Linked DNA regions of Caenorhabditis elegans. The protein of the gene in region 1 purifies or fractionates together with the protein of each later gene. This does not show direct contact. Each region holds a gene or a part of one and is shown in the gene's direction. Other genes may lie near its edges.

Evidence for each region.
Region 2: the proteins of C30F12.4 (region 1) and ZC15.3 purify together in Caenorhabditis elegans (affinity purification with mass spectrometry, with the first as the bait; one large-scale study listed by BioGRID). This does not show direct contact.
Region 3: the proteins of C30F12.4 (region 1) and Y39G10AR.11 purify together in Caenorhabditis elegans (affinity purification with mass spectrometry, with the first as the bait; one large-scale study listed by BioGRID). This does not show direct contact.
Region 4: the proteins of C30F12.4 (region 1) and smc-3 purify together in Caenorhabditis elegans (affinity purification with mass spectrometry, with the first as the bait; one large-scale study listed by BioGRID). This does not show direct contact.

The regions. Positions count from the first base shown.
Region 1 is NC_003279.8:6,969,961-6,977,260, reverse strand, and holds C30F12.4 (LITAF domain-containing protein), read left to right. Parts: upstream 1-3,564; 5' UTR 3,565-3,591; coding exon 3,592-3,619; intron 3,620-3,669; coding exon 3,670-3,781; intron 3,782-3,828; coding exon 3,829-4,139; intron 4,140-4,445; coding exon 4,446-4,570; intron 4,571-4,725; coding exon 4,726-4,890; 3' UTR 4,891-5,104; downstream 5,105-7,300. Other genes in the region: idhg-2 (Isocitrate dehydrogenase [NAD] subunit, mitochondrial), read right to left, coding at 303-371, 422-832, 892-1,023, 1,076-1,168, 1,248-1,376, 1,523-1,624, 2,222-2,329, 2,422-2,499; C30F12.3 (Conserved plasma membrane protein), read left to right, coding at 5,463-5,523, 5,836-5,948, 6,008-6,106, 6,155-6,271, 6,319-6,457, 6,503-6,599, 6,646-6,814; C30F12.2 (ATPase N2B), read left to right, coding at 7,121-7,240, 7,286-7,300.
Region 2 is NC_003283.11:20,299,808-20,306,959, forward strand, and holds ZC15.3 (CCHC-type domain-containing protein), read left to right. Parts: upstream 1-3,780; 5' UTR 3,781-3,812; coding exon 3,813-4,041; intron 4,042-4,095; coding exon 4,096-4,538; intron 4,539-4,593; coding exon 4,594-4,890; intron 4,891-4,937; coding exon 4,938-5,000; 3' UTR 5,001-5,101; downstream 5,102-7,152. Other genes in the region: ZC15.1 (C2H2-type domain-containing protein), read left to right, coding at 6,296-7,152.
Region 3 is NC_003279.8:2,290,241-2,300,239, forward strand, and holds Y39G10AR.11 (TPR_MLP1_2 domain-containing protein), read left to right. Parts: upstream 1-2,886; 5' UTR 2,887-2,976; coding exon 2,977-4,971; intron 4,972-5,989; coding exon 5,990-6,361; 3' UTR 6,362-7,088; downstream 7,089-9,999. Other genes in the region: tpxl-1 (TPX2 domain-containing protein), read right to left, coding at 7,577-7,679; epg-2 (Ectopic P granules protein 2), read left to right, coding at 9,873-9,929.
Region 4 is NC_003281.10:11,287,742-11,296,030, forward strand, and holds the start of smc-3 (Structural maintenance of chromosomes protein 3), read left to right. Parts: upstream 1-3,162; 5' UTR 3,163-3,200; coding exon 3,201-3,215; intron 3,216-3,258; coding exon 3,259-3,373; intron 3,374-3,422; coding exon 3,423-3,655; intron 3,656-3,707; coding exon 3,708-3,894; intron 3,895-4,929; coding exon 4,930-5,335; intron 5,336-6,497; coding exon 6,498-6,600; intron 6,601-7,739; coding exon 7,740-7,988; intron 7,989-8,289. Other genes in the region: mib-1 (RING-type domain-containing protein), read right to left, coding at 1-255, 449-572, 618-724, 788-1,010, 1,071-1,333, 1,751-2,095, 2,489-2,584, 2,672-2,824. UniProt on the Caenorhabditis elegans protein: Involved in chromosome cohesion during cell cycle and in DNA repair. Involved in the repair of double strand breaks during mitosis and meiosis. Required for chromosome segregation during mitosis. Central component of cohesin complex.

The DNA.
Region 1 (7,300 bases):
TACAAAAATTTTCAAAATTTAATCTACGTTTCAAATTTTGGTTCATTTCTCTGTTTGAATTTCCTTTGCCCTGTCTGATTGGTCATGGGGCTCTAATTTTTGGATGAAATATGAACAGGGGATATTCTAAAATTGAAAATTCGTGTTTTTCAGAATTGCGTTTTTCATTAAGTTTTATAAACCCACAAATCAATTTCAATATTTTTATTTATTTACAAAAGTATAGTTGAAAAACATAAAAACCTGACACGAAATATTAAAATCCAGAAAATTAAAATTATATCAAAGCACGAGAAATTTCATCAATGTTTTGGGTTCTCGTCCATCAAAACTTTGATGTTCTGAAGAGTTGCGTTGATAACATCACTGGCCTGTAACAATGGTTTAGGTTTTTTTTTGGAAACTATTTAATTTTACTTACCGAATTATTTCCTCCAATATCAGCAGTGTGAATTCTTTGTTCAACAAGAGCCTTCCACAATGCATCGGAAATAATATTAGCGTGATAATGGCATCCCAAATATCTCAACATATCAACAGATGCTCGAATGAACGCAGTTGGATTGGCAATATCTTTTCCAGCAAGAGAAGTTCCAGTATTACGAGTTCCTGTTTCAAAAACAGCATATTTATCTCCAAGATTCATTCCAGACACTAATCCAGGTCCACCGACAAGGCCACATGCAATGTTCGAAATGATATTTCCATAAAGATTTGGCATAACCATTACATCGAACTGTTGAGGTTTAGAGACAAGTTGCATTGAGGCATTATCCACAATCATTGCTTCAAATTTGATATCCTTATAATCTTCTGACATGTCCCGAACAACCTGAAATATCATTTAATATTCATTATTTTAGGCCTTAAATTGAAACGTTAAAAACACACCTTTAGGAAAAGTCCATCTCCAAGTTTCTGAATATTAGCTTTATGAACAGCTGTAACCTTCTTTCTTCCATTTGCTTTTGCATATTCAAATGCCATTCTTGAGATTCTCTCAATTTTCTCACGGGTGACGATCTCAAAGTATTTATTTAACTGAAAATACAGGAAAGTAGGAATTTGAACTCACTTTAATGCTTTCTACGATTCCTGGAACTGCTTCATGTTCTAATCCAGAGTATTCTCCTTCCGTATTTTCACGTATAAGAACAATATCAATTCCCTTAAAAATAAGAAGTTTTAACAATTGAATACAATTTTTTTAAACTCTCCAACTGAAACAAATTGGTAAGTTTACTTACAGAATGTCTGGTAGGTACTGTTGGAATTGTGACACAGTGAAGAATATTGGCATAGAGATCCAATTTAGTTCTGAGTTCAACGTTACGAGAGTTGAATTGTGGATCGTCGTGTTTTGTTTCAATGTTTCCCTGAAATTATTTTATATACATTAGTTGTAATATTTATATTTTGACATTAAACTAATGCAAATTTTTAATTCAATTCAAAAAAACAGAGGTACTTTTTTTTACAATTGAACAAGCAGGTATTTCACTAATTTTATTTAATTCATTACCTTTATAGCAACACCATTTCTTTCAATTGCCAGCATAGCAGCATCCATGTCTCCATCCAAAAGCGACGATGAGACTTGCACTTCTTCAAAGTTGACTGGAGCCTAAAATTAACATCTGTCTCTTTTTTTTGCTTCACCTTATCCATTTTGGTAGTTCTCAACATGTGAAAAAGGATTACGATTAACTTGTATTCTACCAACTTTTTAAAAAAATCAAAAAGAGTCGAGATACGAGCAATCAAAGTTGAGCAATAAAATCCAAAACTAATAGAAGAAAAACGATACTAAAAAAGCTTATGAGCAGTGAAGAATATTGAAATTAAATATTGTGTGTTTTAAACCCAAACACGGTTACGGTATATTGTAAATCCAGTTTAACGTGACTTTAAAATGATAACTTGAATATGGTTTTTAGAACTTTCACATTCTTGAAGAAGCAAGCTTAAATTCAAATGTGGGTACTTGTGTATGATACCCCCGCCATTAAACATTAATTTTTTACCTTATAAAATAAAAATGTGTGGAATTTTAGGCTTAGGAAAACAGCACTCCGAAGCCTAATAAGGAAAATGGGTATCACGTTTAATTTAAACAAATAAATTAATGGAAATTTGATTAATTTTTACAATGGCGGGGGTATAATACACAAGTACCCAAATGTGCATAGTAGACTTTATATTTTCAAGCATGGGAACCTACATGACAAAACGAGAAAATATTTCTGATATGGGCAATCATCTCGGGGCCAATTCCATCTCCAGGAAGGGCACAAACTGTATGTCGACCACCATATTTTGCTAGTGGGAGCTGAAAAAGTGATTATATTATGGTTTTTGGAAGAATTGCATTTTGCTACATTTTATTTTATAATTTTAATTTTCTGATAAGATAACTCTTACTCTGTGACCTGGAATTTGATGGGTACGGATTGCAGAGGCAGCTCCACGAACCGCTTGAATCGGAAGTTTTGAGAACATTCTTAAATTTTTGTTCTTTAGTTATAAAAGCTTCGTTATTGATTCATTGTCAGTTAGGAATTCGATTAGGAAGTTAAGAAGAACTTAAAATATCTCAAATTCGTAAATTTTTTTGCTAGAGACTGTCTAGTATTTCAAAATTTGAGACAATATGTATGTAGCTATAGAATATTTAATTTGAGAAAAAAGGTATCGATTAAATGTAGCATGGGATTCTCCAATGCTCAGGGTCCCGGGAACAAAAAGACGGGCGTTTTCATGAACATCTGCGTCTCTACATCTCTCTTATCTCTAACGTGGTAAACAACTTGGCAGGCACACACACATTTGTTCGGCTTATCAAGAAAGAAAAGAAAAGTTTGGCAGAGAAAATTGAAAAAGATAGGGAAGTGCGGCTCAATTCAGGTGCAAGAACACCCTGACACGTGTTGAATGTGGTCAAAATTTCAGAGTTTTGACTGAAAATTGATGAGACATAAATGGGGAGTTGTAATAAAAAATATTAGACGAATTGAAAGTTTTGTCACTAGTGGAAAAAAAACGATATGACTTCAGTGTGTGAGAAGATAGAAATTTCTTTATTTGGAAACGAAGAGTTTTAAATCATACTCCGGTGCGGGAAATGTTTCGCTAGGTGCTAAATTTTTCGGGATTAATCCTAGTTTTCTCTGGCCACTTCAAAATTTGAAACTTCATAGACTTAATTTTCTACATGAAATGAATTCTCCTGTATAACTTGGCACCTGTAATGACAACAATTACTGAGATCGTGGCGAGACCCACTCGAAACATTGGCAGTGCCTTTAAACTGACATGTCAAAACTTCGCGAAATCACGATATTTCTATACTTCCGATTTTATTTTAAAAAACTTATACAGTTCTTCTCAAGTTTTAAGATTGCTTGACACTTTTAAACTTTTTTTTAAATAAAAATAATATTATTGGAAATGTTCGTTTGCAATTTTTATAGTGAACTACGGTATGCAATCAAAGTACGCAAACACATCGACGCACTTCTCACAGACTGAGATTCGAGGAATTATTTTTTTTTATTTTCTCATCTGTTTTCAATCGGAAAATCGTTGCTCAAGATGACAATTAATCCGACTGATTACGTCTGTAAGTTATTTTATAAAATAATCTAAAAATTTTAAACACCTAATTTTCAGATGAAGAGCCCCCACTCACGCCTGATGGAAGAGTTCAATTTTTGGGGCCCGAAACTGTCAAGTACATTTCTCCACGAAGAGTGGAGGTTATGCGGCAACATATCAGACCAGAGTGAGTTGAAGAAAGAAAATTCATTGGAATAAATTCACAATTTACAGGATTTCTCAATATTCTCAACAACAACCGCCACCATATTATTCATCTCAAGTCTATCCATCAGTTCCATCTGCTCCACCAATTCAACCACAGCCTCAAATGGTTCCAGTTTCAATGCCAATGGTTCAACAGCAGTACATGATGCCCCAAATGGCTCAAATGATGCCTCAGCAAATTGTTATGCAGCAACCGATCATGACAACTGCAGGACCACAGATGATGATGACTCAGATGGCTCAAATGGCCAATCCAGTGCAGCTTGTCTCACCTCAACCGCCTGTCCAAGCCCCACCGCAACAGCAGGCGTCGCCAGGTATATTCGATAAGTAATATTAAAAATTATAAAAAAATTATACAAGATATATATATATGTTTCGGCGAAACTTCATTTTTATAAAATACTCGATACTCCTTGTTTTTTATTGAAATCCAGTCTCAGACATCGAGAAAAAAAGCGCTCGAACACAAAATTAGAACTCAAAAAACCGGATGTCCAATTTGTGAGACCTAGTCTAGACAAATTTATTTTTATTCATAATTTCAAGTTGCCATTCACCTTTTTTTAATCATCAAAAAGTAGAAATTTCCACTTCTTCTTTTATTTATCTTAAAATTTCAGCTATAACTCTGTGCGTTAACCAGTCTCCACAAATTGGTGGATCTCCCGGAGGAGGTGTGGGTGCACTCGTCTGTCCGAAATGTCGAAAAGGAATCATCATGCGAAAACAAGATCGATTGAGAAAGGTTAGTCATTTTTGCTGATTATTTTTAAAGTGCAACGAGATGATTTTGATAGTCAGAAACGAAAATATTATAAATAGCTGATTTACATGATAACTTCGAAGGTCGAAACTATCACACTTTAAAAATTTTATTTTTAAAGTTTTAATAATTTTTAGAAGATTTTGATGTGCCTTGCCGTGTGCTGCTGTCCTCTGACATGTTGTCTCCCACTCATTTGCATTTGTTGCAACTACGTTGACGCTTGTGGAGCCTGTGGCAAAAAATATGGGCACCGTGGAAGGAAGAACGCAAAAACCAAAGTGAATGCAGTTAAATTGTGAATTTGAAACATGTCTTGTTTGAAAATAGTATATATTTTTCTTTATTATGGCACCAATTTCCCACTACTAACTCCTATGTAAAACTTTAATTCACTTTTCAGTTAACATTATTGCATTTTTTATACTTTGTTCTATTGTTTGCCAAATTCACCATATCAATTGTTGTTGAAAATCTCAAAACATCTGTCAGAATTAGATGAAAAATGTCATCATCGTCTTCATTTTCACACATCCTATTCCCTTTCCAGTTTGACTCGTCTACTGATTGGGCTAATCATTTCATGAGCTCGCGCTTGTGAGCTCAGCTTCATCTCATTTGCCCCTTTTCATATGAATTCTCTCCTTAACCTGAAAAATGAGCGCATCTTTTTTCCAGATTTTTCAGCGTGACGAGTGATTTTTAGAGATCAGAACTCTTTTTAAATTGTTCTTTCTTGAATTATTTTTCCTTGTTCGCAATTATCATGGGTTTGATATTAATTTCAGGGTACAACAAAAAGAATGGATAAGTATACTCAATAGATTTATTTCGATAAATTTGAATTCGAAGTTATCTCTGAGAAAAGTACAAAATGCGTTCTATAAGGAAATGGAGTGGTTCTAGACACAATCGGCAATCGTTGCAATCAGAAGGTATAAATTGAAATTCAGGTGTCCAAATTTCGACCGCTCGTATTGCATAGACATCTAGGGATGATAGTGTTCTCCAATTTTAAGCGGAATGGTCTCGCCGCGCAGCCAACAAATTACTGGAACTCGTGTCATATTGTTTTAATTGAATTTTAATATCAATTTATAAAAAGTCTGAAGAACATCAACAAACCGTAAATCGACACGAGTTACAGTAGTTCGCTGTCTGCGTGGCGAGACCTTTCCGCGTAAAATATAGCTAAAATATTCGTCTTTAGACGACAACGGAATATGATTTTATTCTAATAATTTCAGCTACAACATGCATAATCAGTGAATGTGAGTACGATGAGGAACAACGAGGCGACCGAATTTTTAATCCGAATCATGAGAAATACCTGTGTTGTTGTGGTCATGCACATTCTTTGGTGAGTAATGTAGAGTGAAATTATTTGTTATTTTAATGATTCAAAAATAAATAATTCAGACCGGAATGAAAATTGTAGCAGGAATGTTGTGTGTTACCGTAGTTTTCGAACTTTGGCATCTCATTGTATCCATCTTAGCATCGGAATTGGTCGAAAGAGTAAGAAATTAATAATTTTTAAATAATAACTGGATCAATAACTTTCAGGCGGATGTAACTGGAGCAGCTATTCGATTTTTCGCTGGTGTCTTCATTGCAGGTACAGTACTCTGGGCGATTTTCGCGCAAAGAGCAGAATTTCTTGTGCCGTATCTTCTGTTACAGGTGAATTCGAAAAACTGATATTTGGCTATAAAACATAATAATTTCAGGGTGCTGGGCTTGCCATCGGCCTTATCTTTTTCGTTTCATTCATGTATATCGGTCTTTTTGGAGACAAAAAAGTTGGCACAACAGTCCTTGGATCATACGGTATTCCAGTAAATCCACGTGATGAGACAGCGTATTTCAGTTAGTTTTTATGTTTATTTTTCAGATTTAATTCATCATTTTCAGATTATGCTGCCTGGTTGATGGCTGGATCATTCGCGATTGTCATAGTCCTTCAAATTTGGATGATGATGATTGTTGTCGCGTGTTGGAGATTTTTCAGGTAGGCACAGGTGCTGGTATCTAGTAATTATTTTCAACAACTTTAGAGACAAACGTAATAACGAGAAGATTTATAAGGAAGTGGTGACGGTGAAGAAGATTCAATTGCTAACCCGAATGAGAATATCCCTTTCCGCGGAAGCTCTTGGTTCCGAATCATCACATACAAAAAACTGGGTCAAGAACCGCTCTTTTTCTGCGTCTCTCGATGTTTAACGCGTTTTCCTTATTTTATTTATCTTCAAATTCTCCATGTACACATCCATGCACACTTGTTGAATAAAAAATTGGAAAAATCGTTCTCTGAAATAAATTACATTCGAAATACGCGCCGTTTTGAAAATTGAAAGTTCGCTCTATTGATACACTCTAGTGACTTGATGTGCAGAGAAAACGGTCGGTTCTCCACAATTTTGATCGTTCTTCGAAGTTTTTTATTAAAAAATTGCCCAGTCCGTTGTGATAATATCTTATCAGTGATTTTTGAACCAAGAATTTATTCGAAAATCTTTTACAGCTGAAATGCTCTCCCCAATTCGCTCAAAATTACAATATCTGCAAGTTCAACGGTTTTTAGTCACATTAAGCGATGCGTACTCGAAAAAAGTAAACGAAGGGACACTTAAAGAAGACGATTATCAGGTAAATTTTTTTGGAAAATGTTTCAAAATTAAAAAAAAATTTCAGAGAAAAATGATTGTT
Region 2 (7,152 bases), on another chromosome or scaffold:
ATCCGCCGCCGAATACTCACAATGTCTTCCGTATTCTTCCGAAAACATTCGCTCTAATAATCATTTAATAAACAATTATTATTTGAATTACCGCCACGCAATGCAGGCGCGCTCCACGGACAACAACGGAGTGTCGTAGCGCGCTCTCTTTAGCCATTGCTCACATTAATTATTGGCCTAAATTTGATGATGCAATTATCGTCACTCTCCTCCGATTCTCCCATCGTGTGATGCCGTACTCCTTCTAATTAATTATTATTCGACTCCTGGCTGCTCTGCAGCACATTCTCTACGTTTTTCCTGATCAATAAACAGGTTTTTATTCGTACTAATTGTTCTGTTATATTCACACCGCTCATCCCTCCTCTCGTTCCGTCCGTCGTCTTTCTTGTCACTCCGAGGTTCTGGCTACCTCTCGGATTGGAGTGTCAACATGGTGCATCGAACCGAGTCGGATTGGATCCGATGAACGAACCAAAAAGCCAGCTCGTGACACGGCGGGACCTGAGGAAGCGGCAAGCCAGTCGGAGGAAGAGGACAGGAGCCTAAGCGTGCAATTACCGCTTGGAAGACGCGCCAGACGCGTGGAGTCAATTCAGGAAACCCTAAGCGGGGCGAATACCGCTTAGAAGACATGCTAGCCGTGTAAGGAAATCCTAAGCGGGGCAAATACCGCTTAGAAGACATGCTAGCCGTGTAAGGAAATCCCAAGCGTGGCGCAAAACGCTTGGAAGACATGCCAGACGTGTAAAATCTACCACTGAACCCAACTTCATCTACGACGTAATCGGCTGCCCAGAAGATCCAGGAATTCGTGCCCAACAGCTCAATTTATGAAGAAATCCCCGCAGCTCACTCAACACTCAACTGATGGTCGATAAGTTGCCCAATTGCAGCAAGGATTCAGGAATGCGCACCTAGCCGCAGAAAGTGAGTATTTCTTTATAAAAATCTTCGAAGAGCAGTGGCACGGCAGTGGAGCCGATGGATATTCGTCGAAAAAATTTCTTCTGTGAAGAATAAGCGATTCGCAGTTTTGGAAAGCCTAGGACAGCGATTCTCTGCCTGGAAGACATGCTAGACGTGTAATCGGATTCCCAAACGGGCAACTACCGTTTGGTTGCCATGCTCAGCCGTGTTGAATCAGGAATGTCCATTCTCGAATTTTTTTGTGTCATTTGCAATAATGGCACAGAAGAGGAGAGAAAAGTGACGCAAAGAGCTAATCTCGCAGCTCTCAGGAAGCCCAAGTGCTCAATACGAACTTGGAAGCCACGCCACGCGTGAGGGGAGGTCGGCAAATCTACATGGCTCCCGGAAACTCCAATCATCAAACCACTTGCCACTGAACCATCTACCGCCAAAGGATCTCGGCTGTCCCGGAGAATCAATCAAAATCGATTCAAATCACCTCTAGGATCGGAAAGCTTGGATATCGCCGCAAGGAGGAATTATTTCTTGTTTTCTATATGATTTTTAATTCTAATAAACCACTTTGGCCTTCTAACTCCGTTCCGGGAAGTAAAAATCTCACCGGACGGATTCTTCTCTCCATCGTTCGTTTTGTTTGTTTGTTTGTTCGCCAGGAAGTTGACTCAAGCTCTACGTTAGCTTGAACGCCACGCGCAGCGTGATGTAGGACCCAAGTGGACGAATAAAGACTTGGACGCCACGCCCAGCGTGATGAAGAAGCATTTCGAAACGATTGGAGCCGCGCCATGTCGCGGGATATAAATTCGATAGGAAGAAGCTGAGCCTTGCTCGCCAGGAGCCGCAACCAAGTTCCCCCCGGAAGGACCCCCCCCCCGGAAGGAGCCGGCGGGAAGTGATATATCGCCGTCTATTATTGGGAAATTAATCTGCAATCTGGAAATCCCTCTCCAGCCCGATCTGACTGTCATAGGAACCACTACTTCCTCAGGACAGAGCCGAGCAATCGCTGCCCTCACGGCTTCTGGTCAATCGATAAAAGGCCAGTGGGAACTGCCAAAAAATCGGCTTCCCCCCGGAAGAATTACCCCGGAAATCTACTCTGCAAATTCGGAAATCTCCATCCGCCTCCAAATCAAGGAAAATCGCAATTTAAATTGCCGCCAATTGAATTTCTGGCTGACTACGGTAGACAATTGCGACCACGGCACACGATCTGCCGCACAATCACGGACTTTCTACTTTCGAATCCCAAAATTAATTTTGGATGTTTTATGGATTTTTTTCTGGATTTTCACGCATTTCTTCGCTCCACTCGTTCATTTATTACACTTTTGTGACGTCCTATCCACAATAAGTCTGCAATTTTCCAGGATCGAGCACACTCACGCTTGGACATGCCAAACAAGAGCACCGACGACGATAATCCTCCGCTGCCCTGCAGCTGCCCAGCTTCTAGAAGCTCAGGAGATGACAGAGCTCCAACACCAGCGTCAATCATCTCGCTACAGCGTCAGGCATTAGCGGCGGTCCTGGACGCCAGACTACGAATGAGTGCAGAACAAGCTGACGACGAGCAAAGACAAAACGCTGATCGACGCGCTCAGGATCAAAGGGAGAGCTTCCGACGTCTCCGCGAAGAAGCATCAAGCTTCGCCGACTTCTTCACCAACGCGAGATTGCCAGCCATGAGGACCTTTTCGCCAGGTTAATATCGAGAGTATAAAGAAATGACTAACAATTTTTATTGTTTTAGAGGCTGCCCGCAGCTCCTCCAACTCTTCCGGCAGGAATCCACGCATGGATCAGGATTTCGAACTGGCAATGGAACTGGCTTGTGAAGAAATGTCGGCGACACACGCGAGAGCCCAGCCGCCCATCAACTATGAAGCCAGCAATTCCCCAGAGCAACCATCCAGCGAAAGCGACGAAGAAGAAAGCGTATCCAGCGCAGGTATGACAGTTCATAGAAAACTCTCATAAAAATCCAATTCGATTGTAGGAAGTGGTTCCATCACCCCCACGGCCGCCCTCGCAAACGTTGTGGCTCCACTGGAAGCAACTGTGGCCCGCATCGGAACCCAGATCACCGCGATTGGCAATCGAGTCGACGAGCTCTTCGAGCAACAAGCCCACATCTCTCGCCAGCTCAATCTCATCCTAGAGAGCGGCCCACGTCCCTTCAAGCGGATTATCATCAATCTATAGGCTCAATTCAAGGAAAGCGATTCCCAACCGAAGCAAATCGCCGCGTTTGTAACCATCCACTATCAGCATTCGGAAATGGCTGCCCTCTTCAAGAAGACCGAAGGAAACACGTTCCATAAAGAGGGAAACGTCGTCGAGCAAGCTCCATATATCGCAGGAGCGGTGACGGCCAAACGCAAGGAAATCGCAAGAGCTGCCCACGCTCTCCAAGGACCAGTGGCTCAGATCACTGCATCAGTGGATCAACACTTCATCAGAGTTGGCGCGGAGCCCGAGATGCCAAGACCAATATGGACGTCGACAAGATTGACCGCATCCAGTCTCCGATACTCCGTCAACACCACCACGGAATTCAGACGAAAATTGGTCGAACTGCTGAGAACCGACAGCTTCCGAGACACCCAATGGATCACCATTCTTCCCATATACCCTCCGGATAAAGAGGCTGCCCACGACGAAGCAGAAGCCGTCGAAGACGTGGGAGAAGCATCCGATTAAATCTAATTAATTGTTGATTGGTCTTGTTGGCGCGGCTGACCACCCGCATTATAAATGTTCTGTTTTGACTGATTCATGCCATTTACGTTATTGGAAACCGGTTGCAATTACCGTGATAATATCTACTCTCGCTCAATCATAATCGCTCTAACATTCCTTCATTCAGAACTGCCATCATGCCCCGCGAAGAAAGTGAATCTCCACTATTGGTCTACGAAGATCCGAGACATACGCCGTACACGCCGTTCAAGTATGCCAGAAAGGACGAGGAAGAGAGAAGCTCCGGAGGAGGAAAATCGCCGCCCAAGAAAGCCCCAAAAGCCCAGGATCGCATGTCACTCCGCGACAAATTTGAGGCTGCCCCCACCACCAAGAAACGCAAGACGGCTCAAGACCCAGCCGATGGTGAGGAGAAAAAACTAATTATGCAGGCTAAAATTGATAAACCCTCCGTTTCAGAGCTCTTACAAGCCATCAAGCCACTCTTCAACCAAGTCAAAAAGGAAATGGCCGATCAACTGGCTGATCAGCTCGGGAGATTCAACGAGCAACTCGACATGGCGGTCAACTCCTTCAGCGACGAGATAGTGAAGCTGAAGGCGGATCACGCCTTGGCCGAAAAGAATGTGGATACTTATGCCCAAAAGGTCTCAGGAATGTTCCAGCGCGCGGACATGATGTCTGCCAACGTCCAGGAGCAGCGAACTCAACAAGCCGAGGACAATCGTATGGCCTCCAAAGCGAGAGACAGGATCATTTACGACATCGCTCAGGTCGCCACCAACATGAAGACGATGAGCGAAACCATCGCCAAAATCGACGCTCGTGAGGAACAGGCTGCCCAAAAGCAAGCCGAGCGCCACACCCCACAAGGAGGACAGGGATCGTTGGAGCCAGCGCTGGTGAGACTTATATTTTCTCCTATGTCAGGGTAGAATATGCTCATGAATATTACAGAAGTGCCCACTGTGCAAGCGTCATCACGCTCCGGAAAACTGCACCATTATAAGAAATGGACTCGATCGTCGCGAGGAAGCCGAAAAGATCAAAATGTGCATTCAATGCCTCGAAGTCGGCGTGACAAATGACGATTGGGTCCACGAAGGCTGCCCAAAGGAGAAGGAGCAGTGCACCAGATGCACCAAATACATGAAGCCAGGAGAAATCGCCCAGACTCACCACAACGCCACATTCTGCCTAATGCTCACCTCGAAGCAGTACAAGCTCGAGCGCAAGGGATCCCCATCCGATCGTGTAAGCGTATCCTCACGACACAACGAAACAGAACAGTAACATTTCAGGATTACTCGCCAAAAGGCCGCAGAGGACCAATTCGTTCCCGCCACAACCGCTATGGAGGCTGAGGACGCCGCAGAGACAGCTACCATTAAGCTTCTGCATACTCGCTGCCCCCTCCTCATTATCATTCCCGTTGTTGGATTAAACCCGTTGTTATTGTGGCCAAGCCACTTACCATTGTTACTGTTGTTATTGTTCTTTTGGCTGCCCATTCATGGGATCTTATCTAAATAAAGCCTCATCGTCGAACTTCTTCAATTATCACCTCATTTATCCGTTCAAGAGTCACTCACTCACGAGATATTTTCAAAACATAGAGAAAGGGATCCACTCGGAAAAATTAATCCAGCTCAAAACCCCCACGGATAGGAGATAGAGACGCAGATACCTCTAAGCCGGCGCTAATCACCACCGCCCGCTCTACAACTGCACTAATACCTGCAACTTTCGGAAAAGAAGCGCTAACTCCGCGAAGCACATTTATTCGCAGCGCCTAAGGACCTGACAGCCCATACCCTTTAGGTCAGAGCTTCAAGCAACGGGGTCGAAACTCGCAGCCCCAACCTGATCAAAGAGCCCCATTCACAACTCGGAGATCAGGACACCAACCATCTCATTAACTCACAGTTAATGTCAGCGTGTCGTACAATCCCCCAATGACATCGCTCTATTGCTCCGAATCAGGACAGACGCAAACGCCCCTATCCACAGCGTTGCGATAGCTCATGGATTTTATACGCGTGGAAATATTGGAGAAGCGGATGGATTAGACCTCCAACACATTGAGGATAGCGGTGAAAGGGATTAGCTACCCCCACGTTAAACAGGAAGAATGTAGTACCGGTTATGGTAAATAAGAGCGCTTCAAGGATGCTCATTGGTGGCAGCATGCCCATCCCCTGATCTACAATTTCCCTTATCAGGACAGTCCCTAATCGACGGGTGAAGGATTATTCGAATACCATAATAGGAACGGGAAGTCATTCTAAATGTTTTTGCAATAACGTCGACATTGCACATCGCAGAGATTGAGGCGCGCCTAGCTCTAGCCCCTCCTTTACGCCCTATACGCGCTATAATTCCACGACGCTACTGAAGAAGAAGAAGAGATATACAGTTTCACGTTCGCGTGCCCTACATTTATCAACTTAGGCGAAACCCATACACGTGGCGCCATCTCACACGCAACCTAACCACGTGGCGGCACAATACACCGCAGGAATAGAGAATCACAATTCAGTTTGAATTTTTGAAACCGCGCAACTACCCGTTTCACTCTCAACAATCTACAGTGAGTATCAATGTTCTCGACAACTTTCGAAGTGCTAAGTAATCCTGTAATTGATGTATAATCTTACAGATGTTCCGTGCAAACGCAGCACTCAACAATAACCCACCTGGAGCGGCCTATCCACCGAAGGGTCCTAGGAAGAACTACGAAGGCCCAGCACATTGTACACTGGCTGCCCTCCTCAAAAGATCCGTCCCGCTGACCGACGAGGACATCATCGTATTCGCCGATCGTGAAGGAAACTGGCCCCTGGAATATGTCCCCGCAGACCCACTAGCAAAAGGAGGACTGCGTGCCTACGTCTGGAACGAAAGTAGACCGGACCCTCAAACCCATCTGGAAGAATCATTAACCCGCTGCCCCGAACTCGGCAAATGTAAGGATTTGGAAGTTTATTTCCTGAAAAACGCTCGTGCCCAAAACGTTCCGCGCAAAGATCCGTCGCTGCCCAGTGGCAGATGCAACCTGTGTGGAAGTCACTACTTTGGATTTGACATGAATGACCACAAAGTCAGAGGATGCCCGTTCAACAAGCTCAGCCCTGCTCAGAGACTTCGCTTCCAGGCTATCAATAACCTGGCGTACTGCCAACACTGCCACTCCAGAAGCCCAGATCACACCAAGTCACGTCATTGCTCACCGAGGAAATGTGAGAACTGTGGAGACTTCGGCCATCAAATGGAGCAAGCGATATGTGAAGAAAATATCGGAATCGATTCAACCTACTGGCAAGAGCAACAAGAACGTTACGTCAAAACCTCGAGAATAAAATCTATCGAACGCATCCAGAAAGCAGCAATCACAGGTCAACTCAAATATGCCACGTATCTCGACAGCGCCGACACCTTGATCTGCCAACGTGTACGAGAAAGAGCCGACATCGCAGGATGGGGTCCGTTCTTTGACGACGACAAGCAATTTCCCAG
Region 3 (9,999 bases), 4.7 Mb from region 1:
TTTGACAAGTTTTTTTCGGCAAATTCGGTAACTTGCCGGAAATTTTCTATTCTGGCAATTTGCCGATTTGCCGGAAACTTTTAGAGGGATTTTTTTATAAGACGGAAACACCATTTGCTGAAAATTTTTGGCAACCACCGTTTTTTCCGGCAAATTCTGCATGTGCCGGAAATTTTCACTTTTCATTCTCGGCAAAATTCGTCCAATTGCCGGTTTGCCGGAAATTTTCTGTTTCGGCAAATTGCCGATTTTCCGGAACATTTTAGTGGGATTTTTTCATAAGACGGAAACACAATTTGCCGTTGATTTTTGGTAATTGCCGTCTTTTCGGCAAGTTTTGCAATTGCCGGAAATTTTTCATTCCGGCAATTTGGGAAATTGCCGGAAATTTGCCGATCAAAATTGAAATTTCTAGAAGGGAATGTGCAAAACCACACTTTGCCGAAAATTTTTGGCAATTGCCGTTTACCGGTTTGCCGGAAATTTTCCATTCCGGCAATTTGCCGATTTGGCAGAAATTTTAATTTTCGGCAAATTGCCGGCTTGCCGGAAATTTCAAATTCGACAATTTGCCGGAAATATTCAATTCCAGCAAAATGCCGACTTTCCTGAAATTTCAAATCCGGCAATTTGCCGACGTGCCGGAAATTTCAAATTCGGCAGTTTGCCGGTTTGCCGGAAATTTTCAATTACGGAAATTTGCCGACTTGCCGGAAAAACGTTTGCCTCTTTCCCAGAATTGCCGATTTTTGCTCAAAAACCTGCCAAAGGTCCAAAATTTGTTGAATCTACAGCAAACATACTTCAAATAATCGAAAACTTCGCGATTCTGAGCGTTATGAGCCAACTTTCACTGTGCAATGAATAGGAACGACTACTTGCAAAGAATGGGTTCAAAGTACACACTTTCGAAAAAATGCGTCTACCACCCCTTAGCAACCGCGCTCCATTGGACGTTCATGGAGAGACGAGACAAGTCAGCAGACCCCCCAAGCACACAACACGACAAAAATACAAAAGAGACGCAGACGCGGCACCCAAGCTTTTGCTTGTTGTTTCGCATTTTTCTCTGTTTTCTCGTGATGATGTTGTTTTGGAAGCTGGTTTTTTTGTTCAGTGTGATCTCTCGTCACATAAGAAACCAAGTTTTTTTCTTTCATTTCAAAATGAAATTGAAATTAGAAAAATTTGAATTTTCCAATTTATTCCAACAAAAAGAGTACTTGAACTTTTTGATAGATAAGATTAAATGCACATTATAACATATCGTATGTATAATTTTCCATTCATTGTCTTCGTTTATCAGTTCAATTTTTGCCGGTTTTTCACATTTGACATGTGCTGTTCACGTGAAAAGATGAGATGCAACGCCTATGGAATTTGATTACATCAGCCAATAGAGATTGCCGCTTGGCAAGGATATTTTCCGGCAAATTTGGCAATTTGCCGGTTTGCCGGAATTTTTCAGTTCTGACAATTTGCCGATATTTTGCCGGAAATTTCAATTCCGGCAATTTTCCGATTTGCCGGAATTTGTCATTTTCGGCAAATTGTCGATTTGCCAGAAATTTCAATTCCGGCAAATTGTCGGTTAGCTGATTCGGAATTTTTCATTTTCGGTAAATTGCCGATTTTTTGCCAGAAATTCCGATTCCGGCAATTTGTCGGTTTGCTCCGATTCCGACAAATCATTGTCGGAATTTTTCAATTCCGTCAATTTGCCGATTTTTGTCTGAAATTTTCAATTTGTCAATTCTGGAAGCTTGCCAATTTGCCGGAATTTGTCATTTTTGGCAAATTGCCGATTTGCCAGAAATTTCTATTCCGGCAATTTGCCGATTTGCCGGAATTTGTCATTTTCGGCAAACTGCCGATTTGCCAGAAATTTCTATTCCGGCAATTTGCCAATTTGCCGGAATTTGTCATTTTTGGCAAATTGCCGATTTGACAGAAATTTCTATTCCGACAATTTGCCGGAAATTTCAATTCCTCCAATCTGCCGATTTTTTGCCAGAAATTTCAATTCCGGCAATTTGCCGGTTTGCCGATTTGTCGGAATTTTTCAATTCCGGCAATGTGCCGATTTGCCAGAAATTGTAATTCCGGCATTTTGCCGGTTTGTCGATTTGTCGGAATTTTTCAATTCTGGCATTTTGCCAATTTGCCGGAACTTTTCAATTCCGGCGATTTGCCGCTTACCCCTGAGAAAATCTTGGCCATTCTTCAGCAATTTTTGCCGATTTTTCGAGTAACGAAAACTCTATGGGGGCTCCGGCATTTTGCCTATTTACCGGAAATTTTCAATTCCGGCAATTGGATTCCACCCAGACAGCTCCACAACAGGAAAACCTTTCGGCAAACGTTGGAAAAAAAAACTATTCATTGAAGTAGTTGGATTATCAAAAAGTTGAATAATCGTACTTCAAAAGCCCTCAGACTTCGGCCAAACTGTAGTTGTTTCCCAAACTATTACAGTTTTCCAATTTCCAATTTCCCGTTCAATTGTTATCTCTTCCCGGTTTCCTGCTCACTTTTCCAACAATTCTACAGATTCCATCTCGGTCCCCCGGACGATAGAAATCTATAGTATTTTCCGACGAGTGTTCTCCAATCTATAGTGTGCACAGCAGAGAACGTTCGAAGGGTGTAGCGAGAGAATAGAGAGAATAAAGAGACGGAAAGAGACCAGGACACCTTCCGTGGACCCCCGCCACACTTCTCTATCGATTTCTATTTGGGTGTCTGCGTATTCGTGTGCGTACGCACGTGACTCTTATGCTTCTTCTTGCCCCTTACTTGCCTATTTCTCTTTTCTTCTCAACTTTTTTTTTCTTTTTTCCTTTTTTCCTTTTTCCCAAGCTTCCATCATTTACGAACTTCCCCTATTTCAGGTAGAAAACTCAACGCTTCACACTCTTTACACTGCCCCGTCTCCTTGGCAGTTGAAGAGCATCATCCTATCCGCAGATCTCCAAAATGTCTCAGCAGCAGGAACTTCCCACCTATCAGCAGACTAGCAGCTCACTTGAGCGTCGAGTGACCGAGCTTCAGGATGAGAATAAGAGTCTTCGACTGACGTTGGCTCTTCGCACTGACTGTGAGCACGAGCTAGAACGAGTTCGCAATGAGACGCATCCGGGAGTTGAGGAGCTCGAGAAGAAGCTCGCCAGTGCTGAGAACGAGATTCGAGTCATGGAATCTACGAATAAGGAATTGATGGCGACGTTGGCTACAACTCGTGATCAGCTCGGGAAGATGCTTCGCGAACGGAATCAGTTGGTGAAGGACGTCGATGAGTTGCACGAGGAAATTGAGAAAATGGAGAGCCTCTACAATAAGCCGGCCGACTACGCCTCAAACAGTTATACCGACAACATGAAGTTGATGCTTGACGAGCTGAACGATCAGTGTCGTAAGTGGGAAACTGAGAAGGCCAAGTTGACCGAGCACTTCAAAGAGGCTGAAACTCAGCTCAGAAGAGAGAATGTTAAGCTAGAGGCTCAGAAGGAGGATATCTTGAACCATACGAAGAACTCTGAGAAGATGTGGAACGAACGTCTTGAGAACATCACCGCCGACTTTGAACGACTCAAATCTTCATCGAAACCAAGTGGAATTCGTGCCGACCAGAAAATGTTCCAGGAGAATGAGATGAAGATTCAGGAATTGAACAGAAAACTCAAAGATGCTCTTGAAGCTATTGAGGAAATTGAAGACGCCAATTCGGCTCTCCGCGTTGATCTCGAAAGAAGAGGAGTCGAGAAGTGCAAGATGGAAGAAGAGCTCAACTTCCACAAGGGCTTCTTGATCGCCGAGCAACAGAGCTTTCTCTTAGACTGTGCCAACTTCGAGAACCAAATTGCCAACCTCAATAAGGAGATGACAGAGCTGGAGGAGCTCCGTGACGCCTACAAGCAACAGATCGGCGAAATCACCGAGAAACACGCCCAGCAAACGATGACATTCTCGAATGAGAAGGCCAAGTTCTGTCATGCCATGGAGCGCGTCGAGGAGAAATGGAATGCTGAATGTGTCAAACTTCGTGATGAAATTGGTGGATTGCAGAAAATGTTGTTCCAATCAACCAAGGAAACGATGGACAAGCGGGAGATTTTCGACGAGGAATCTCGTGAATGTCGCCGCAAAATCGACGAGCTCGAGGGCCTGTTGGCAACGCAACAAGCAGCGGCGCAACGACAGATTACTCGACTCCTGGCCGAGATTGATGATCTCAATGTCCAATTGAGTGATACCAAATCAGTCCAGGCGAACGCAGTGAAGGAGTGGGATGTCGAGTGTGCTGAGCTGGAAGAGGAGATCTACGAGTTGATCGGCAAACGGAAGACTGAAGGAAAAAAGTTGAGAACCATGCAGAGAAAGAATACCTGGCTTACCGCGTCGATTAGACGGCTCTCCGAGCAACGCCGTGAAGAGCTTGCTGCCAAGAAAGATGAGATTTTAAAGCTTAATAGTCTCTGTGAGCTTCAACGTATGGAAAAAGTCGAGTGGCTCAGTGACTTGAAGAAGGATGTGAATGCATGGAAGAATGAAACTTCCGTCCGAATCGAATTGAAACAGAAGATCACAGATCTTGAGGAGCAAAACGAAGGTCTCGAGGAGAAGGTCGAGAACGTGCTTGCCCAGTACAGAAGCGAGTGCGAACTGTACCAGAACAGTGTATCAAGCCTTCAAATGGATCGTGACAGGCTCAGAAAAGATGTTGATTTGTACAAAGGAAAGGCCGAGATACTGTTCACAAAGTTCGGAGATCTCGTCAAAACCAACGACGAATTGGAGAAGAAGGCGCATCAGAAGATGCTGGAGGCAGACAACTTGCGGAAGACAGTCGAGTTCTCGAACATGGAAATGACAAATGTGAAAGCGCTCATGGCGATGGAGCGGGAGCAAATCCTCGAAGAACGACACTCAACGGTTAGAGATCTTGAGGAGAAGCTCAAAAATTTGACAATGGTAAGTGCTTTTTTTTTTGCTTTTTGAACACACACACACGTGGTGCCAAGCTGTCCCATTACGGATTGATCTACAAAAAATGTGGGAATTGTTTCCCAAAAAAAAGTGACGTCAGCACGTTCTTAACCATGTGTCAGTTGAGAAGTCTGCGTCTCAACTCCCGCATTTTTTGTAGATCTACGTAGATCAAACCGAAATGGGACACTCTGACAGCGTGGTTTGATCTTCGAGAAATGCGGGAGAAGAGACGCAGACTTTTCAACTGATTTCGCATGGCTCACGCTCTCGTTAAAGCCGAATAATTATTAGAGCGCGCTTCGCATTTCTGCATCCGCGGTATTTTGACTTTCCACTGAAAAAAGCAGATATTTCAGATTTATCGAATTTTTATCTTTAAAAATTTTTTTCTGCATTTTTCGAACAAACCTTTTGTTAAACAGTTAAAATCGAATTTAAAATGACTAAAATGAACTTTTTTCGTCCACTGGTTGTGAAATGGTTTGAATTTGAAGAAATCAACGGGATTTTTCTTATTTTCTAAATATTTTTCTATTAAAAATCGGTTTTAATACATTTGTGACTTAACATTAGGGTCAAAAAATGGTTTAAAACCGATTTTTAATAGAAATATATTTAGAAAATAAGAAAAATCCCGTTGATTTCTTCAAATTCAAACCATTTCACAACCAGTGGACGAAAAAAGTTCAAAAGTATCATTTTAAATTCGATTTTCACTGTTTAACAAAAGGTTTGTTCGTAAAATGCAGAAAAAAAAATTTTAAAAGCTAAAAATTCGATAAATCTGAAATATCTGCTTTTTTCAGTGGAAAGTCAAAATGCCACGGATGCAGAAACGCCAAGCGCAGCAAGCGCGCTCTAATAATTATTCGGCCTTGAGGAGAGCGTGTGGCTAAGTGTTTGATGACGTCACATTTTACTGGGAGAAAAATTCCCGCATTTTTTGTAGATCAAACCGCAACGATTGCTTCAAAATCTCTAATTTTCTTCTCTCTTCCAGACCTCATCTATCAACAAAAATCTTCTCGCCGAGGCACGTCGTTCGATCGCCCGGCTCACCGAAGATGCCAAAGAACAATCCGAGGCTCAAGAGTTCGATCGTCTACGCTGGAACGATCAGGTAGATCAACTGAAGGAAGTCAACGAGGAGCTCAAGAAGAATCTGGGCGTCGAGGTGTTGGAATCATCCGATGATTCGGATTGTTCCAGTGACTCCTCGAGTGATTCGGACTGCTCATCGGATTCTTCTGATTCTGAAGAAGATGAAGAGTACCGTGATATGCCAAAACTGAAAGACGAGACAACCGCCGAGAACTCGTGGGAGCTGGTTGGAGAGGAGGAGGAAGAAGCAGAGCAGCAGCAGAATAACTGATAAAATGTAAATAAATGCACAAATTGAATGTAATTACAAATGTGTGTACCAGAGGTGGGCGGATATTTTTTCGGATATTTTCTAATAATGAATTTATCAATAAGTATTGATGTAGTTATTCTGGAAGAAATGTATCCAAACCAAAGAGTAACTATTAAGCAACATTTTAATATGATAAAACCTAGAAAAATTCAACAAGTTTTCCTTACCGAGACCTTAAAACTTATTAGCCGAGCAACATCGGATTTTACGGATATCGGATAATGGACTTGCATATCGTTTATACAGAAAATTTGTAGAATTTTTCTAGGTTTTATCATATTAAAATGTTGCTTAATAGTTACTCTTTTGTTCGGATACATTTCTTCCACAATAACTACATCAATACTTATTGATAAATTCATTATTAGAAAATATCCGAAAAAAATATCCGCCCACCTCTGGTGTGTACCAACTTCTATAGTCGTACTGATCGCAAATTAGTTTTTTATTGTTTCAAAAACATGTACAATTGTACAATTTCCCCCTTTTATTCCCCCCCCCAATCAAAAAATTTCATTTCCTTCTTATTTTTTTGTTTTGTGAATTTTAAAAAATTCAAAAATTTGTAGTCCCCCTCCAAAAACCCCTCTGATTCTCACCGCCGAATATTTTTCCTAATTTCTTTTCGCTTTTTTTTTCTCTTTTTTCCCTAAAATTTCAAGATAAACGATGATTTCAATTCAAATAACAAACTTGGCTCAGAAGAAACCTTTCGCAAAATTCAGACAAAAAGAGGGAAATCTACAAGAAATGTTCATTGCGGGCGGGCGGGCGGGCGGGCGGGTGGAGGAGACACAACAATAAGGATGTGAATTTCACTGGATTGAATGATAAAGAAAAGGTATAATAATAATAAGAATAAATCTGTGTGTGTGTGTGTGGGCTTCCGGTTTTTTTTGTAAACATGTGTGTGTGGGGGCCGGTCTATTATACAGAATTAGTCAGAAATAATGAACACTAGTAGATCAGTGCGCGCGCGCGAAAAGGTGAACGGGAAAAGATAGCTCAACAAAAACTATGGATATGAAGAAGAGAAAAAATACGGTATAAGGGGGTGGGATGAGACAAAAAAATCAATGAGAATCATCATAAATATTTTTTTTAAAATTAATTTTCGCGGTGAAGATGAAGCTGGTCCCATTGGAATACGACAACGATCATATGTACATTCGTTTACTGCTTCGATTGTGGAGTAGAAGCTGCTGCTGGTGGCTTCTGAGTCGAACGATCCTTTGATGGAGCACGAATTCCGTGAAGACCTCCGGCAGATGGCATTCTGGAAAATTTTTAATTAGTAATTAGTAAATTTGAAAAAAGAATTGTTTAGAATATTTTGGTATTTTTTTTCCAAATTTTTTACAATTAGCATTGCCAATCTTAAAAGTTCAAAAATGTATGCTTTTTATTCGAAATTATTTTTTGTACCAGATCAGGGGTGGGTGGCAATTGGTTTGTCGTCAAATTAGGCAATTTGCCGGTTTGTCGAAAAAATCTTTTCACAACTCTAGGTTTTCATGTAGGCACAAAATGCCTACTAGGTGCCAATCGAATGCCAATCGAAAAATTGCCGGAATGAAAATTTCTGGAAAATCGGCACATTGCCGTCATATCGACAACTTGCCGAAAACGAAAATTTTCGGGAAATCGGCGAACCGGAAATTTGTCGGAATTGTGTTTTCGTTTTCGATTTTCAGAAAAATAGCATTTTTTGCAAAAATGGCTCAAGTTTTAGCCATTTTTTTTTAGAAAAGATGTTGTTTTCTGATATTTTTCTTCCGTCATTAGTAACAAAACTTGATGAAAAATTGAATTTTATCATTACATCTCTATAGATTTTTAAAAAACTTTCTATGAAAAAAATCGAAGAATCTTATCTACTCCAGCCAGTCATTTTAGACTATATTTTTATCATTTTAAGACAACAAAAATAATTTTACAATTCTAGGTTTTCATGTAGTCAGATAAATGTTTCATCGCCTATCGATAGGCATCTTCGAGGCATATTATGCCTGCCTTGTAGGCACCTAATTTTGCCCTACAAAACTACTGATTACATTCCTTATTAGCTCGAAATCCTATAACTTTTCCTAACTTCCCACTTTTAAGGGTGGTGTAGTCGAATTTTTTTTATTGCTTTATCAGGCTCATAATTGTCTGAAAACACCGAATTTCATAATGAAACTTCTTGAAAACTTTTCAGAAAAAAGTTATGACGGCTCAAAAAATGGCCTAAAATTAGTTAAAATCGGAAATTTGACCAACTTATCAATGTCGCAGCAGCTGGAAACAATTTTTTTTTGAAATCACCGCCAAATTTTGAGTATACAAGTTAATTATCTTACGTTTTAAACTTGATTAAGGTATTAAAAAATCTTTGATTTTTAATTTTTTTAACCAAAACTCGCCGTCCATCGATTTTTAAATACTCGTTTAAAACGCGAGGTAATCGACTTGTATACTCAAAATTTGGCGGTAATATCAAAAAAAATTATTTCCAGCCACTGCGACATTGACAAGTCGGTCAAATTTCCGATTTTAACTAATTTTAGGCCATTTTTAGAGCCGTCATAACTTTTTTCTGAAAAGTTTTCAAGAAGTTTCATTGTGAAACTCGGTGTTTTGAGAGAATATCGAGTCTAATAAGACAATAAAAAAATTCGACTACACCACCTTTAAAATTTGAATTTCTGTAATGTAATGCTCTAAATCTTCCAGATTGTCATATATATCCATTGTTTTCTCGACATCAAAGACCACCAAAAAGTCATTCAATACTATTTCCACTTCACCTGTTCACCCCTTCCCCAATCTTAACATCATCTTCTGACCCTTAACGTGACCCCGACTTTCCCAAATCTCCCTCTTCTGCTCACACAACGCTATTTCCAGAGAGCAAACACAGAGCAGCCCCGCCCTAGTGGCGCATCTAACCAAACGCGCAGTCCTCCACAACTATCCACATTGTAACCTTGGCCTGTACATTACATCAGTCGGACCATTCTCTCTCTCTCGCTTTTTACCGTGGCCCATCTCTCGGTGGCTAGACGCTGCCAATATGCAGAGAGCAAGAGAGCGCAGAGCATTATGCAGAGGCTGTCTCTTTTGCTCTCGTCGAGCTATCCAAACCGTTGCCATTTCTCCCTCTTTCACTCCCCGAGACCACCCATATCTCTCGTCTCTCTCTCTCTCTCTCTTTTTCACTCTCTTTCATATTATTCATTCCTCTCTTCTCGGGTTCTTCATTCAATTCTCAGTCATTAGCTACTACCACACAATGCCTAACAACTGAATTATATATTCTACCTGATCGCCGTTTTCCTCTCACAGCCTCGCAAGCTTTCTTTCTCCTTCTTCGAATATTTTTTATGGTGACCTTGTCATTCGTCTCACTATTAATTTTTGTGTGTGTAACACATCTCTCAATAATCGATATTTTTTGCAGATCTCAATTTCAACAGCTTTCAAAAGAATGAGTGCCAACAGAACTGTCACAGTTTTTTCATCGTCAGCAGAGGATCAAGAGCCGGTAAGTATTTGAGCTGTTCTAGATTCTGTTGAGACACAAAAAATCCATTTTCACACGTGGTGCCAGAGTC
Region 4 (8,289 bases), on another chromosome or scaffold:
ACGAACAAGTTGAGCACAAACCGGAACCAACGACGCCGGATATTGCTCCGAATTGCTCAACATTTCACGAATCAACTGGAAAACCGGTGTCTGTCCATTCAAATCGATAATATTCGATGGAGCGCCGGCTTTAACGAGAGCCTGAATTGCTGCAAGCCGATTACAGTCTTTTTCCGCTTCTCCTGTCCATTTTTCGAGGGCGTAGTGGAGTACTCCGCGACCGAACTTGTCACGACGGTGGACTTCTAGGCCAAGCTGAAGAAAATAATTAAAAAAAGTTGTCGGAAAATTCAAATTTCTGGAAAAAAAATTTTGGCGAAAAATTAAAATTTTTCGAGAAAAATTTTGATCTTAAATTCATTATTTTCGGCAAAAAAATCCTAAAAACTAACGTGGCCGAGTTTTGCATAAACCTCGGCCACCAACACTACTAATTTTTTTCACCTACCGAAATAAGTTTATTGACAACATTCGCATGGCCAGAGGCAGCGGCAAAATGCAATGCGCTCATTCCAGTTTTCGAGGTGGTATTACGGTAGGAGGCACGCAACAGGAGAAGCTGCTCGACGGTGCTGAAAATGTTGGAGGGGGTGGTGCACTTCTAATAGAGGTTTTACCTGACATGACCACTCATAATTGCAATTTGGATGGGTGTCATATTGCTATTGTTCACGTGATGAATGTTCGCACGAGTATTTGTCAGAATTCTACTTATTGCCGCTTTCTGAAATTGTTTTAGCGATTATCGATTTTCTGGTCAGTTTTCGGAAAAATCAATAACACAAACCTTATTCGAAGACTCTGGCAGCCGGCACACCTCATGCAAAAGTGTGTCGCCAAAATTGTTCGGAACACACGGAATACAAGTACTCGTACCGAGAAGCCGATCGATACAAGCTGCGTGGGCGTGACGGGCGGCCAAATGAAGCGGTGTTAGACCGTTGGCCGCTTGTGAATTGATGTCTTTTGGGAGAAGAAGCATTACAGTATCCAGCATTTTGTCAAGACCTCTGCAAGAATTATTGATTTTTTTAATTTTTTTTTAAATCGATTTTTTTACGATTTCCCACCTCTCCGCAGCCACATGAATGATAGTTCGATTCTCGGAATCTCTGGCGGTTCTATCTGCACCCAACGCGACAAGCATCACAACAACATTCCGTAGATCATCGGCGACAGCACGGAAAAGTGGCAGTTGACCGTCGAAAAGGGTCCGAACTTGTTGCGGATCCGATCGGATCGATTCGACGAGAAGCGCATAGCTCAGCGCGTCTTCACCCCAATTCGCGATCACTTGCATTAAGGTGTCCGGGGTGTAGCCGTGGATTGTGTGCTGAAAAAATCGATTTATCTTTCAGGTAGGCATGTAGGTAGGTAGGCAGATAGGCAGGTAGGCATGTAGGCATGTAAGCTGACCTATGGACCAGCAGGCAAATATGTAGACAGACAGGCTTTATGCAGACGCATTTTCAGGCAAACATGTAGGAAGGCAGGAAAAAAACAAGCAGGTAGTCGCGGAGGCAGGCGTGTAGGCAAGTAGGCATGTAGGTATGTAGGTTTGTAAGCTTACCTATGAACAATCAGGCAAATATGTAGACAGACAAGCTTTATGCGGACGCATTTTCAGGCATTTTCAGCATCAGACAACAATTTGACAGGCTATTGCGATAGTAGGCAACTAGGTAGGCACATAATCAGATAAGCGTGTAGGCAGGCAGTTTTGGAGGCAGACATGCCTGAAGTTACCTACCTTATAAGTATGAACCGACGGCTCATTATTATCTCTAGCAATCATTGACAATCGGGGACCCGAATAAACCGGACACAAAAAGATATCCCGTCTCTCATCAGTCCATCCCGTATTCGCATTAACCGCCACCTGAATCTCCCGGGTAATCGTCGGATTCGAGGCGCTTTTCAGTTGAACCAAATGCTTCGGAATTCCACCTAAATTCAATGGTTCCTTCGTTGCCACTATTCCGATTGTCGTTTTTTCCGGATCTCCGCGGGTTATTGCAACGAGATCACCTTTTGAATGATCTATACATTGAGGGAATTCCAACGCGTCCAGCGGCCATTCGGTAGAGAGCTTGAACTGAAAATTTAAATTTAAATTTGGGATGAAAAATTCGGAAAAAGGCTCTTTTTTCAGTGTTACCTCTGAAAGCTTGAAATCAAAAAAATTCAGGAAAAGTTTTAAGTATCTTCAATGAAGATTTCAGTTTCTGTACCGTTATCAACCAATTTTCATTTAAAAATTCGATATTGAAAATCAAAAATTACAGTAGCCTTTTAAAGACGCACGCCACTTTCGCAATACTTCTCCTGGCGCGATCAGTAAAAATGTGTGCGCCTTTAAACGATTACGGTAGTATCCAAGCAATTTAAACTTTTTTTTTCCGATTTTCAATGGAAAAAAGTACAAAAAAGATCGCTAGATTCCGAAAAATCACACATTTTACACAAAATCTTCAAAAAATCAGCTTACAAGCTCTGGATTTTGCGGAACTGCGTAGTAAACCCGAACATTTGCAGTGTGCCGGTGCTCGTTGATGCTCTCGATATAGCCAATGTGACCGAGAAGCTGAAAATGTTGAAGATTTGCCTGTTTTGAAGAGATTCTCAGCAAAAAATTTCAGATTTCAGCATTTTTTTCTTTTCTGCCACTCACAGCCAAATGTGTCTTCGTCCACGCAACATTATTGTACGAATTGAGGCGTTGTGCATGATTTGGATGATTTTCCGATATCAGAATTCGATCGCCCGGTGTGAAATACGTCAGGTACTCGTCGTAGCTCGGCGATTCGCCAGCTACTCCGTTCATTTTTGTGAGAAATAATTGAAATAAATAATTTTTTGTTATTCTGCTTTAGTTTTTTGTTTTAGACACGTTTTTCCGTGGTTTTCTAGTATTTTTCCGAGAATAACACGTTTTTATTTGGAAAAACCCTCATTTTTCGAAATATCCTTGTCCGAGAGGAGTACACACCGGGTGGCCGAGTGGGGATTTCTAGTCCCGGGTCGCGCCCGCGAATTCTTCGCTTTGAATTTGAAATTTATTTTTGCTGATTTTCAGTGTTTTTTGCGATTTCCATCGATTTTCCTCATTCAAAAAGTTTTTTTTGACTTAAATTCTGCGATTTTCTCATCTATATTATCGATGTTTCAGTCAACATCCCATCACTTGATGCAATAAACCGATGAAGATCAAAGAAGTGAGTTTTCCCAAGTTTTTCATCGATTTTTCCCTATTTTCAGGTGAGAATCACCGGCTTTCGAAGCTACAAAGACAACACCAATGTGTCGGGCTTCAGTCCACGCTCGAACGTCGTCGTCGGACGAAATGGATCGGGAAAATCCAATTTTTTCCATGGTTAGCCGCATGAATTTCTGCGGAAAAGCTGAAAAATGTCAATTTTCAGCGATTCAATTCGTTCTTTCCGATGAATATGCTCATTTGAAAGAAGAACAACGTCTTGGTCTGCTTCACGAGAGTACCGGACCGAAAGTCGCCCACGCTCGTGTCGAAATCACCTTTGACAACTCGGAAAAGCGTCTAATGGCGTTTGAAAATTCAGAAGTGAAGATTGTTCGTCAAGTTGGAAAGAAAAAGGATCAATATTACATTGATAATAAAATGGTGCCACGTGCCGAGGTATTCCAGCTGTGGAAAACCTCGAGATTTATCGATTTTTCCTCAATTTCAGGTGGTAAATCTCATGGAATCCGCCGGATTTTCTCGCTCAAACCCGTATTACATCGTTAAACAGGGAAAAATCAACGAGTTGGCCACTTCGCCGGACGCTTATAAGCTAAAGCTACTGAGAGAAGTCGCCGGAACACGAGTTTACGATGAAAGAAAGGAAGAAAGTCTGAAAATCCTGAAGGAAACCAGTGCGTACCTGAAAAATAATTGTTTTTTCGGTGAAAACGTTAGAAAAATGATTTTTTTTTGCTGAAAAATGACTGGAAAATCATCAAATTTTCATGGTTTTTGGTGTTAAGTATGCAAAAATTGCACATTTTCAGCAAAACTCTGGTTTTCTTTTGCAAAGTCGCGCAAAAATGACTGGAAATTGTCCAAAAACTCCGAAAGTCAGCATATTTCGACTATTTTCAAAAAAAACTCTCAAAAATTAGTGCATTTTTATTCAAAAAAGTGGAAATTCACCTTTATATATTGATTTTCTATCTGAAAAATGACTGCAAATTGTCAAAAAGCTACGAAAATCACCAAATTTTGACTATTTTCAACAAAAATCGCTTGTTTTTCTGGAAAATGTCAGAATTTATTGAAATTTTCATTCAAAAAAGCTTGAAGTTTACCGATTTTACTGGATTTTTGAAGATTTTTGAAGACAAAAAGTGCTCAAAATCTGGTATTTCGACCGAAAAATTTATCTGGTAAAATATTCAAAAAGCTCAGAAATTTCAAAAAAATTTAGCTAAAAAAACTAAAAAAAAAAAGCTTTTTAAGAGTTTTAAGAAATTTTTCGAAGAAAATAGTTCGAAGAAAATAGGTACGTGAAATTTTATCGATTTTTCTCAAATTTTACAAGAAAAAATATTTGAAAAATCAGAAAGTTAACATTTTTGAAGAAAAAATGCTCAAATCTTGAAATTTTATCGATTTTTCTGCAATTTTACAAAAAAAAATTCAAAAAATCGAAAATTCACCCTTTTTTTTTTGAAGAAAAACAATTATCAAAACCTGAAATTTAATTGATTTTTCTCAAATTTTTCAAAAAAAATGTTTCAAAAATCTGAAATTAACCTTTTTTGAACAAAACAGTGCACAAAATCGGGAATTTTATTGATTTTTCTGCAATTTTACATAAAAAAATGTTTTTAAAAAATCACAAATTTACCCTTTTTTTTGAAGAAAAATTCTCAAATCTTGAAATTTTATCGATTTTTCCTGAATTTCAGAGATGAAAACGGAAAAAATCCAAGGCCTTCTGAAATACATTGACGAACGACTCCAAACTCTTGAAAACGAGAAAGAAGATTTGAAAGAATATCAGAAATTGGATAAAACGAAGCGAAGTGTTGAATATACAATGTATGATAATACAAATAAAGAAGCGATAAAAGAGAAAACAAAGCTTGATGAACAGAAAGTTGAACTGAATCAAAAGGATAATAATGTGAAAAGTCAGTTGAATGATGTTATTGCTGAAATGGCAAAGCTTAAAACTGATAAGAAGAAGCTGGAATCACTTGGAAGAGGACTTCGTGAGGATAAAGAGACACTTCAGGCTGAGGAAACTAAAATGGTTGAGGAGAAAATGACGTTGAAGCTTGAAATTGACTCGTTGAATGAGGAGAATACAAGGTTTTTTTGAGAGAAAATCACTGGCAAAAAAATGCGTATATTTTAATGAAATTGCCACTGCAACTTTTTCCTCACGAGGGACGAGGAAAAGTGGTTTCTAGGCCATGGCCGAGGGGCCGACAAATTTCAGCGGCCATTTATCTTGCTTTGTTTTCCGCGTGTTTTCTTTTGTTTTGCACCAATTTTTCCCGTTTTTTCTTAATAAAACTGATAAATAATAATTTTTTACAGATGCTAAAACAATTTCCAAGTAAAAAAATCATGTATTCAGTGGGCAAGCAGCGGTGAAAGTGGGCATTGTCATATGATGGATTACGGGAATACAAATCCTAAACTTTTTCTGAAACATGATACATATGATGCTTAAATGCTGAGACTACCTGATTTTCATAACGAGACCGCTGAAAAAGTTTTGAGGTTTCCAAAATTCAACTTTTTTGGTGAAAAAGTAGAGATTTTCGTACAAAAAGTTGAATTTTGAAAACCTCAAAACTTTTTCAGCGGTCTCGTTATGAAAATCAGGTAGTTTCAGCATTTAAGCAGCATATGTATCATGTTTCAGAAAAAGTTTAGGTTTTGTATTCCCGTAATCCATCATATTACAATGCCCACTTTCACCGCTGCTTGCCCACTGAATACATAATTTTTTCACTTGGAAATTGTTTTAGCATCTGCAAAAAATATTTATTTATCAGTTTTAATAAGAAAAAACGGGAAAAAGCTGTGAAAAACAAAAGAAAACAGGCGGAAAACAAAGCAAGATAAATGGCCGCTGAAACTTGTCGGCCCCTCGGCCATGGCCTAGAAACCACTTGTCCTCGTCCCTCGTGAGGAAAAAGTTGCAGTGGAAATGTGAATGTTTTACTGAAATTGCTACTTTTAATCTAGTAAATTCCTGGAAAAATTCATTAAAATCTTGGAAAAGCCTGGAAAATGTGCTTATTTTGCTGAAATTATCAATACAAATTTAAAGAAAAAATTCCAATTTTTCATTATCATTGATTTAAAGCTCAATTTACCAGTTTATCAGACATTCACCTAAAAATCCATTAAAAACCAATTTTAGAGTTTCAGCGTTTTTTGTTTTCGCGGAAAATTTTGAGCTAAAAAAATTACCAAAATTGACCGATTTTTAAACAAAAAATATATAAGTTATTTTCAGAGAACGCCAGGGACGTCAAAACGCGGAACACTCGCTTCAAGGTGTCGGTGATGAGATTTTCAAGAACGAGGAGGAGCTCGATACGATTAAGCCTGAATATGCTGTAAGAGTTTCCAGCCTTCTCAATCTATTTTAAAAAATTGGAATTTTTTTAAGCATAAATTGACTTTTGTTTTTTTTTTTGAAATTCGCAGTAGAAATTAAAAAAATGGGGAAAAAACCAATTTCTGGCAAATTTTCGAGCTTTTCGGGGTTTTGAAAATATTCTGTAAAGATTTCAGCAAACATTGCTTTTCAGCTCATTGTTTTCAGTTTTTTTCAGTGAAAATTTAGTCTTTTAGCGGTTTTTTTTTCTAGAATTTTACGACTTAAAGGCTTAAGATAAACTCGATTGACAGAAATCGGTAGGAGTTATTCAAAAAAAAAATCACTAATTTCGGGATTTTACACATATTTTGATCTCAAAGAATTTGATATTTTCCAGAAAAATGTCATTTTTGCAATTGTTCGCTGCAAATTTCCCGAAAACTCGATTCTAACAATATTTGAAATCCAAAATTCCATAAAATCTCAAATTATTGTGACTCGTGTGAGCTAAAAGCGATTGCGATCGGCTCTCGGAATACGTTATTTTCCACGAAATAAACTGGAAAAAACGAATTTTTGAGCTTTTCAATTGCCAATAGCTCACATTAGTCACCGGAGATGCGGAAGCTATGCCCAAATTTTCAATTTTAACTGGAAAATTCAAGTTTTCCCGTTTTTCTCTGATTTCTAGATTAAAAATGGAAGAAAATTGTTATTTTTGCTTCGAAATCTAGAAAAATTGAGATATTCCCAGTTTTAATCGAAAAATTCTGATTTTACACATATTTTAGTCTCAATAAATTTGCAAATTCCCAGAAACTAATAAATTTTGCAATGTTTCGCTGAATCTTTTCCGAGAAAAAATTCCATATTTTGCTAGTTTTTAATTAAAAAATCTAATTTAAAATGGTGAAAATTTTATGTATTTTTAGAATTTTTAGTTTGAAATGCTCTAAAAAATCGAATGTTGTGACTTGTGTGAGTTAAAAGCGATTGTTCGGCTTGAAATCCGTTATTTTCCACGAAATAAACTGGAAAATATCGGATTTCTGTGCCTTTCAATTGCCAATAGCTCACATTAGTCACCGGAGATGCGGAAGCTATGCCCAAATTTTCATTTTGAAACAAAAACTTTAACCCAAATCCAATTTACAGAAGCTTCTGGAAGAGGAATCCCGTCTGAAAACCGACATCAGAATTGACGAATCCCGTGCAAAAGAGATTCTCGCAAAACAGGGCCAACGCAGTCAATTCTCGTCGGTCGATGATCGTGATAAGTTCCTTCGTAACGAGATTCGTCGTATTTCTGGATTAATTGCTGATAATAAGGAAAGAGAAGAGACGATTCAAAAAGAATTGGCAGATGTTGAACGAGAAGACGAGAAGCTGAATAATGAGATACAGGTGAGAGAAAAGCGGCTGAAATTTTGGCTGAAAATTTGACTTATTTAACTGAAATTTACTTAAAAATGTAAAATTTTGATAATTTTCGGCCTAAAAATATCGAATAATCGCCGTTCATCAGCCAAAAATTAGCTAAAACACTCAGAAAATGAATTTTCTAGTGCTGAAATTTAAAATTCCGCATTCTTTTTCACCAATTTTCAGCGATTTTCATCTAAATTCGCTGAAAATTTGAAAATTTCAACCGTTTCTGGCCTAAAATTGAGCTAAAACTCGCGAAATTTTCATATTTTAAGCCAAA